Linked DNA regions of Rattus norvegicus. Each later gene encodes a partner of the first gene's protein in a complex. Links are inferred from orthologs where the notes say so. Each region holds a gene or a part of one and is shown in the gene's direction. Other genes may lie near its edges.

The links. Proteins that work in one complex are often made in the same cells at the same time.
Region 2: Cyfip1 (region 1) and Abi1 share a complex: the UniProt entries of both Homo sapiens proteins name them as parts of the WAVE2 complex. The link is inferred for Rattus norvegicus from reciprocal best matches to the Homo sapiens genes CYFIP1 and ABI1.

What each region holds. Positions count from the first base shown.
Region 1 is NC_086019.1:115,916,320-115,919,819, forward strand, and holds part of Cyfip1 (cytoplasmic FMR1-interacting protein 1), read left to right. Parts: intron 1-163; coding exon 164-363; intron 364-3,500. UniProt on the Homo sapiens protein: Component of the CYFIP1-EIF4E-FMR1 complex which binds to the mRNA cap and mediates translational repression. In the CYFIP1-EIF4E-FMR1 complex this subunit is an adapter between EIF4E and FMR1.
Region 2 is NC_086035.1:90,084,905-90,089,098, reverse strand, and holds the start of Abi1 (abl interactor 1), read left to right. Parts: upstream 1-1,271; 5' UTR 1,272-1,335; coding exon 1,336-1,452; intron 1,453-4,194. UniProt on the Homo sapiens protein: May act in negative regulation of cell growth and transformation by interacting with nonreceptor tyrosine kinases ABL1 and/or ABL2. May play a role in regulation of EGF-induced Erk pathway activation. Involved in cytoskeletal reorganization and EGFR signaling.

The sequences.
Region 1 (3,500 bases):
TCTTGTTGGCTACCTCATTGCAGCCTCTACTGTTTGTATCTCCCCACGTGCTAGTCCTCCTAGGGACCACATAGCCTAGGTGGAGATTGCAGTCTTCAGGTAAATACCTCCTTCCTGGATGGCCCATCTCCCCTCTCATATCCTTGTCCCTATGATCCTGTAGGAGCTAGATGGGCTCTTAGAAATCAACCGTATGACGCACAAGCTGCTGAGTAGGTACCTCACACTAGACAGCTTTGATGCCATGTTCCGGGAAGCCAACCACAACGTGTCTGCACCTTATGGAAGAATCACCCTCCATGTCTTCTGGGAGCTAAACTATGACTTCTTGCCCAACTACTGCTATAATGGCTCCACCAACCGGTAAGCATGCCATTAGCGTCACAGACATGTTTGGATATCCTGGTTCAGTTGCATCTACAGCCGGTGATCTTCAGCCCTGACCATCTGCATACTTCCCCCTTTAACTCTGCCCTCTTTTTCCTCCATGATTCTCATGTTCTGGTCTCTCTCAGGCCTTCCTTGTTTCTTCCGTTTACAAGGCTAGCCCTGGGCCAGCACTTGGGCAGATGGTCATCGCTTTACCTGTAGAAATAGAATACTGGCAGAAGGCCAGCACTTGAGGCAGGAGAGCCAAGGTTCTGCCAACACACTTAGTTGTCACTATAGACAGAATCTCCTGTGCCATGGAATGGCTGCTGGAACTGTACTGCCTACTTTAAGTCTCCCTTATGGCAGAATGTGGCAGGCGATTCTACTTTTCAGGTTTCTATCTGAAGTGTTGAGGGTCAAAGTGAGAGTGTGGTAATGTCTTTCTTCCCACTTACCATCTTGCTGTTGTGTTAATGAGAGTAAAGTCTGGTGGTAGAGTGGTTGAATGGTAACCTTACACCGGTCATCAGAGTAGAATCTCCTCAGGGCCAGAGTGGTCTGTTTGTGAGATCACCAGGAACAGGGTATTCTCTTAAGATGATAGGTTCCACCACTGGTCAAGTTGACTTCTGTGTCTGATTAAGGTTGTTGCTCCCAAGTTTCTCCACTGTCTAGTCACTACTTTTCTGTTTAAATTTTGTAAGTAATGTGTAGCTGAGTAAGTAACTCAACTGAGACTACGTAATAGCCATACTTTGTTGGCATCTAACCCACTAGTGTCGGCATCTGTGACAAATGCTTACCTTGCTCTTATTTGTCCCTGGGTGGTTGCAGAGTGAGTTTCTAATCTCTTCATTCCTCTGAGAATATTAATCAGCATTCTACAAGTGAACATTCTTCTCTTTGGTGATGATTATAAGTATAATCAGGAACTCCATCCTAGCGTTTGTATCTTCAGTTGATTTCTGCAATCAGCACCGAGAGCACCTATTACAGTGGTGTGTGTGTATTCCCACTGTTTTATAAGTACCACTTTATCTTCTACCACAAGATGGAGCGTCTGGGTAATTGGTGTGCTCACCTGTACTAGGATGTCAGTGTTCTAGAGCCATTTGGTGACAACAGTAGGGAGTACTCACAGGCTTGCTGTTTTAGGTTTCTATGGCTGCTGTTAAAAGAGAAGTGTTCTCTTACAGTCCAAAATAAGGTGTCAGCAAACCACACTTCCCCTTTAGACTCTGGGTGGACTCTCTGCTTGCCTCTCGCTAGCTCGTGGAGCAGCTGTCTGTTTCTGACACTCCGTGGCTTGTACCAGTATCATTCCAGGCTTTGCATTTCCCAGGAAACAGTATTCTTCTGAACCTCTCTCCGCCCACCCTCCTTGTAAGGACAACAGCCATATAGATCGGGGCCTTACTCTCAGCTCCTGATCTTATCACCGAGAACATGTGTAATGACCCTGTTTCTATCTCCTGTGCTACAGAGAAGGAGGACTCAGATATCTTTTGGATGGTCACATTTTAACTCGTAGTATTTATGAATACTTGTGTTTTTTTCTTATACAGTTATCTATAAATGAAAACATTCTGATATCTCCAGTTTCATTTCAGTGCCACAATATTCATTTGACTCATCACTCAGTGTTTTTGGACTTCCTCAAAAATGGAAAAGATGCCTTTGCTCATTATGATATTGGCTTGTTCAATTAGACAAAAAGCAAACTACTTTAAGAATTGCTGGTTCTGACTGCTGTGAAACAAACATTCCCACTATAGTTCAGCGTTTGTTTTTGTTATTTTGGCTGTAGATGAAAGTATGCAGGCAATGCTGTGTTAAAGTTTTGTGCATGATGGAGGAACAGTCTATCTTTCTTTAAATAAGAGGACAACTGGACAAAACACATACGTCCCTATTTTCTAATACTAGTCTTCTGCTTAAAGGAAACATGAGAAGTGTCTTTTGACTGTCCTACCTTTCTGTCTAGAAGCACATTCTGAACAAAGAACAGAGGTCAGTTGGTGTAGAGCTTGGGAATCCTGCTTGCAGGAAGAAACACAGTAGAACTTGGAGAAGTTCGCACAGCTGGAATTTATAAAGTTAAATATGGAAGAGGTGGAACTCTCAGAAAAAAAAAAAAAAAAACAGCTCCTGAAACCAGCATGGGCTCCACGGTGTTGGGGAGCTATGGTCAGTAATTCACAGAGCTCGCAGCAGTATGGACCATTTGCTCTCCTTGTCAGCACAAATTTAGAAACTTACTCAGCACCCAGACACTTCATAGATTCAGTAGAAGTCTATTGCCTTCGTAGTAGGTCTTAATTCTAAACTACTTGCCTTTCCATAGAAATACCATAAACATACCATTATCTGCTTGATATGCAGATAAACTTAGCTCCCTGCTGCCTCAAAAATCAGAGACTTAAAAAACAGAAAACAAGACTTAAGAAGATATCTCAGTGTCCAGCATCCAGTCTGGAATTAGGTATGCTCAGTATCTGAAAAAGGTGACCTATAATGAGGAGAAAAATCAGTTCATAAAACACAAGCAACAGAGATGACAGTGCCAATGTGGTCAGAAGGCAAGAGTGTTAGCCATTTTAAGTATTAGTAAAGATTTAAGAAAGTCGAACGTAAGAGAACGTGATGGTTTACATTTGCTTGACCCTGGGAGTGCACTATTAAGGAAGTGTGTCACTGTGGGGTGGGCTCAGAGACCTCCTCCTAGCTGCCTGAGGATGTTCAGTCTGTTCTTGGCTTCTTACGGATGAAGATGTAGAACTCTCAGCTCCTCCTGCACCATACCTGCCTGGATGTTGCCATGCTCCAGCCTTGATGATAATGGACTGAACCTCTGAACCTGTAAGGTAGTCCAAATTAAATAATGTCCTTATAAGAATTGCCTTGGTCATGGTGTCTGTTCACAGCAGTAAAACCCTAACTAAGACAGAGAGATAATGCTTTACAGAAGAGAATGGATTGAATTAATACTGTAAACACAGTACCGGAAGTGAAAATTCCATTTGCTTATTTAAATGTTAGATTCTGTTTTGCAGAAAGCCAGTGAATTTGAATAGCTTCTGCACACTGGCATGATGTTACACGTTCTTATAGTTTGTAACTCTAGTAAG
Region 2 (4,194 bases), on another chromosome or scaffold:
GCAAGTGATAAGAAATGAGAACAAAAGAATTTTGTATAACGTAAGACAAAAATATGTGCATTACTTAAAAAAGAATAGGAAGGCATGAGAAAAGAAATTAGAAGAGGAAAGTTCTGAAATTATATATTTAAAAATGTACACACACACACACACACACACACACACACACACACACACACAGAGAGAGAGAGAGAGAGAGAGAGAGCGCTAGTCTTTTGCCATGGAGTAGTGTGGCAGTCAGAGGGAAAACTGTAGGAGTCTGCTGTTTTGGTCTCCCGCCATATGAGTTCTGGGGTTTGAATTGAGAAAGCACCTTTATCTGCTGAGTCATATTGGCAGCCCTAAAATTGTCTATTTTAAATGTTAACATCCTCGCATTTGTCCATCCTTCATTCTCTGTCTTAGACATGATCACCCTTTATAACCCAGACTGTTTTTCAGTTCATTGTCAGTTTCCCGAGTGCTGGGATAATGGATGTGCAGCCACTCTTCATTAATTTTTTTCCCTGTCCTGAAATTCGGTTTTAAATCAGGCCGGCCTTGAACTCAAGTAGATCCATCGCCTCTGCTAGCCATAGACGTTTGCGACCACGCCCAGCTTTCTTTAAATTCTTTTTTAAAAAAGGATTTATTTATTTACTTTCTTTAAATTCTTAAGCGTGAAAACTATCCTTGCCCCATTTGTTTCTGCCATAGCAAGCACACTGCTTGATGTACATCTGAGAATTGATAGTTTTCTAGGTTTTAAATGAATTGGGGCATAAGTTGAGGCAAAGTCTCTCACAAAACTGAGGAAGTCAGGTCTCGCAGTTTCTGTTTTTAATTGTTATCTGATTGGATGCCTTTGACTTACTGACATTTCCTAATTAAGTAAGTTCTGCAAATTTTCAAAGTTTTCTCATAGGAATAATTTCGCTGCTTAGATCACCTTGTGGCGCCATCTTCTGGGATCTTGAGAAGAGTCTAGATTTAAGACTGTATAGGTCTTGGTTCTTTAAATTCTTTTCAGGATTTTTGGAAGCACCTTAAACGCATGCGCGGCCTAGCCAGGAAGAAACTACAATTCCCAGAAAGGATTGCTATAGAGGGCGTGGTGGAAACTCTCGTTGTAAGAGGGAAATGATTCTCGCGAGAAAGTGAGTCTATGGTGGCTGTGCGTCCTGGGTGGAGGGGGGCGGGGAGAGTAAAGAGGAAGAGGAGGAGGTGCAGTCCCACAATACCCGGCGGAGGGCGGGTGGGTGGTTAGTGTCTGATCTCTGCGGCGCTTCGGTCCCCGTCGGACTCAGCTGCCTCTGTCTCTTTAACGCGAGAGGAAGCGATGCGGAGGGGTGGAAAATGGCAGAGCTGCAGATGTTACTAGAGGAGGAGATCCCGTCTGGCAAGAGGGCGCTGATAGAGAGTTACCAGAACCTGACCCGGGTGGCGGACTACTGTGAAAACAACTACATACAGGTGAGGCGCTTGGGCGGCCGGCGAGGACCGCTGGGGCGACGGGCAGGCTGGGTGCGGTGGGAGCTGCCCCACTCCGCCACCCTCCGCCCTGGCCCGAGCAGCCGCAGCCGCGGCGATACAGGAAGTGGCCGCCGCGAGAAAATGGGTGAGGAGCAGGGCCGCCCCGGGCGCCGCCGGCCCTGAAGCCGCTCCCCGCGTGCCCAGCCGGCTGCGCTCCCGGCAGCCTGCCCCGGACCGGCGGCGTTCCCCGCCGCCTGCCCGTGCAGTCGCTCCCCAAAGCCTATCCTGGCCGAGCTCTGCTTCTCTCAGCCTGCCCGGCCCAGCTCTGCTCCCCACCACCTGCCCTGGCTGAGGTTTGCGCCTAGACCCCGGCGGCTTTCCCAGGCCGGGTCGTGCTCCCGGCAGTCTTTCCTCCGGGGCTCCACTCGCTGCAGTCTTCTCTTGGTCGGGCTGTACTCCTCGTTGCCTCTTTTGGCTACTGTTGGTCCTAAGACCCCCCTCAGCCTTCCCTGGCCGGGATCGGCCCTGGCTGAAGTCCTCCTGGAAATCCCGTAGCCTCCCTTGGTCGCTTTGGACCCCAGAATTCTCTGTCGCCCCTGAGCCCAGTGTGATGAGATCCGGACAGCTGCGTGAGGAATGGGCAGGGAAGGAAAAGCGGGGTGTGTGTCGTTGGAGGGTTGGGTGGGGTGGGGGTGATTATGTCAGTTCATCCTAGAGGGTGTGCCTTTTATTTATTTAAAAAAATTGTCACGAGTCACGTTTGTACAGTGCGGGGAGTGATTGCTGAGGGTTTGATAAAATTCATCTTAAAATTCTTTTAATTGGAGGAAATCTGCGTACTTGGCGATTTTCAAGTCCGGCTTTTCCTCATATTTACTTCTGCTTCAGGATAATGTATACTGGTTATTATAAAGCACGAATGATTCATAGGGAAATTCAGTGGGAAATGTCTTAAATACTTCTCTTCCTCCAAATGTTCTTGGACTGTTGCCTTTGAACGCAGTAGTGTCATCGTTGCTTATGTTCTGAGATTTCTATCATGAGTTAATATTTAGAAGAGTATGAATAAAGTAGGTTGGCAAGCATTATTTAATCTTTGGGTCATAACGTAAAATTGCTTCTTAATTTATCAGGAAATTCTTGGCACTTTTACTATGCTATGCGTGCTTATGTTTAGTAGCGATTGTAAGTGAATTGTATGCAGTGGTTTGGCTTGTAGTTCCTGTCGTTGTGTAAAAACTAACAGTTTGCAGTAGAAGCAAATGAAGTAGTGGAATTCTTTGTATCAGATACTGAGACTAGAAGCTCACTTCCTGTTGACAAGGCAAAACCTGAAATCTTTGAAAAGTTAGGGTTATTGTACTTGAGACCTGAAGGATTTCTGAACGTGCCTTGCGAGTGTGCAAGGGCCTTCTGTGCTTGGGGATGCCTGTACACTTCGTTTTCAGAGGGAGATGCTGTTTTGAGGCTTAAGTATTTGCCACTTTCCATATTAGTAACATTCTGTCTGGAGTGGTGTGCCAAGGAATTTGTCTTCATGCCTTCTTTTCCAGCCTTTGACTCTGGTAATCTGCTGATAAACTTATTGAATGCCTCCTGTGTCTTCTGTATGACTTGTTTCTGAAAACTATATATGAAGCTGGTTAAAAACACATTTTAGGGCTGGGGATTTAGCTCAGTGGTAGAGCGCTTACCTTGGAAGCGCAAGGCCCTGGGTTCGGTCCCCAGCTCCGAAAAAAAGAACCAAAAAAAAAAAAAAAAAAAAACAAAACACATTTTAAGGAGCAGAAAGGGTGCCTTGACAACTGTTAAGAGCAGTTGGTGCTTTTGCAGAGGACTCGATCGAGTTCAATTCCCAGCACCCTCATGTTGGTTCACAACCATCCTTAACTACGGACCAGGGGATCCACTGCTTCTTCTGACACCTTTGGGCTTCAAACACACGTTCAGCATACATACAGACACACAAGCACACACATATACACATGTAGGCAAAGATACTCAAAAGTAAAATAAGTCTAATATGTTAAATCCTTTAAAAAATGGTACAGAAATATGGATATAGTGTGGAAATAGAAAAGTGATCTTGTATTTTATAGATACTAAAAAATGTACAACTTTGGGCTGGAGGGATGGCTCAGTGGTTAAGAGCACTGACTGCTCTTCCAGAGGTCCTGAGTTCAATTCCCAGCAACCACGTGGTGGCTCACAACCATCTGTAGTGGGATCCAGTGTCCTCTTCTGGTGTGTCTGAAGACAGCGACAGTGTACTCACATGCATGAAATCAATCAATCAATCAATCAATCTTTTTAAAAATGTACAACTTTTATTTATTTTAGTGTGAAAAGCCTTGAGTTTGTTGCATCTTTGGTTCCCATCCCTGAATGAGGCCGCTTACAACCACCTGTAACTCCAGCTTCAGGGGATCTAACACCTTCTGGACTACCTGAGGACCTGCAGGAGTTCATAGACACATCTACACATAAAAAGTGAACAGACACACAATTTAGAGCAACCCACTTTAATTGGTAATAGTGCTGATTAGGATAAGGAGTTGTGTCATTTCTTTTTCTTTGTTTATAATGTTTGTGTGTGTTTTCAGTTTTAATATATGTGCTGCCGAAGTGAGCTGTGTGTGTTTTCAGACACAGTCTCATTCTAGAGCAGGCTGCTGGATTCTCCATCCTGTCAGAAGTGTAGCTGCCGTACTCAACTGACGGGGGAGAGCTTTTTGGGGGTGG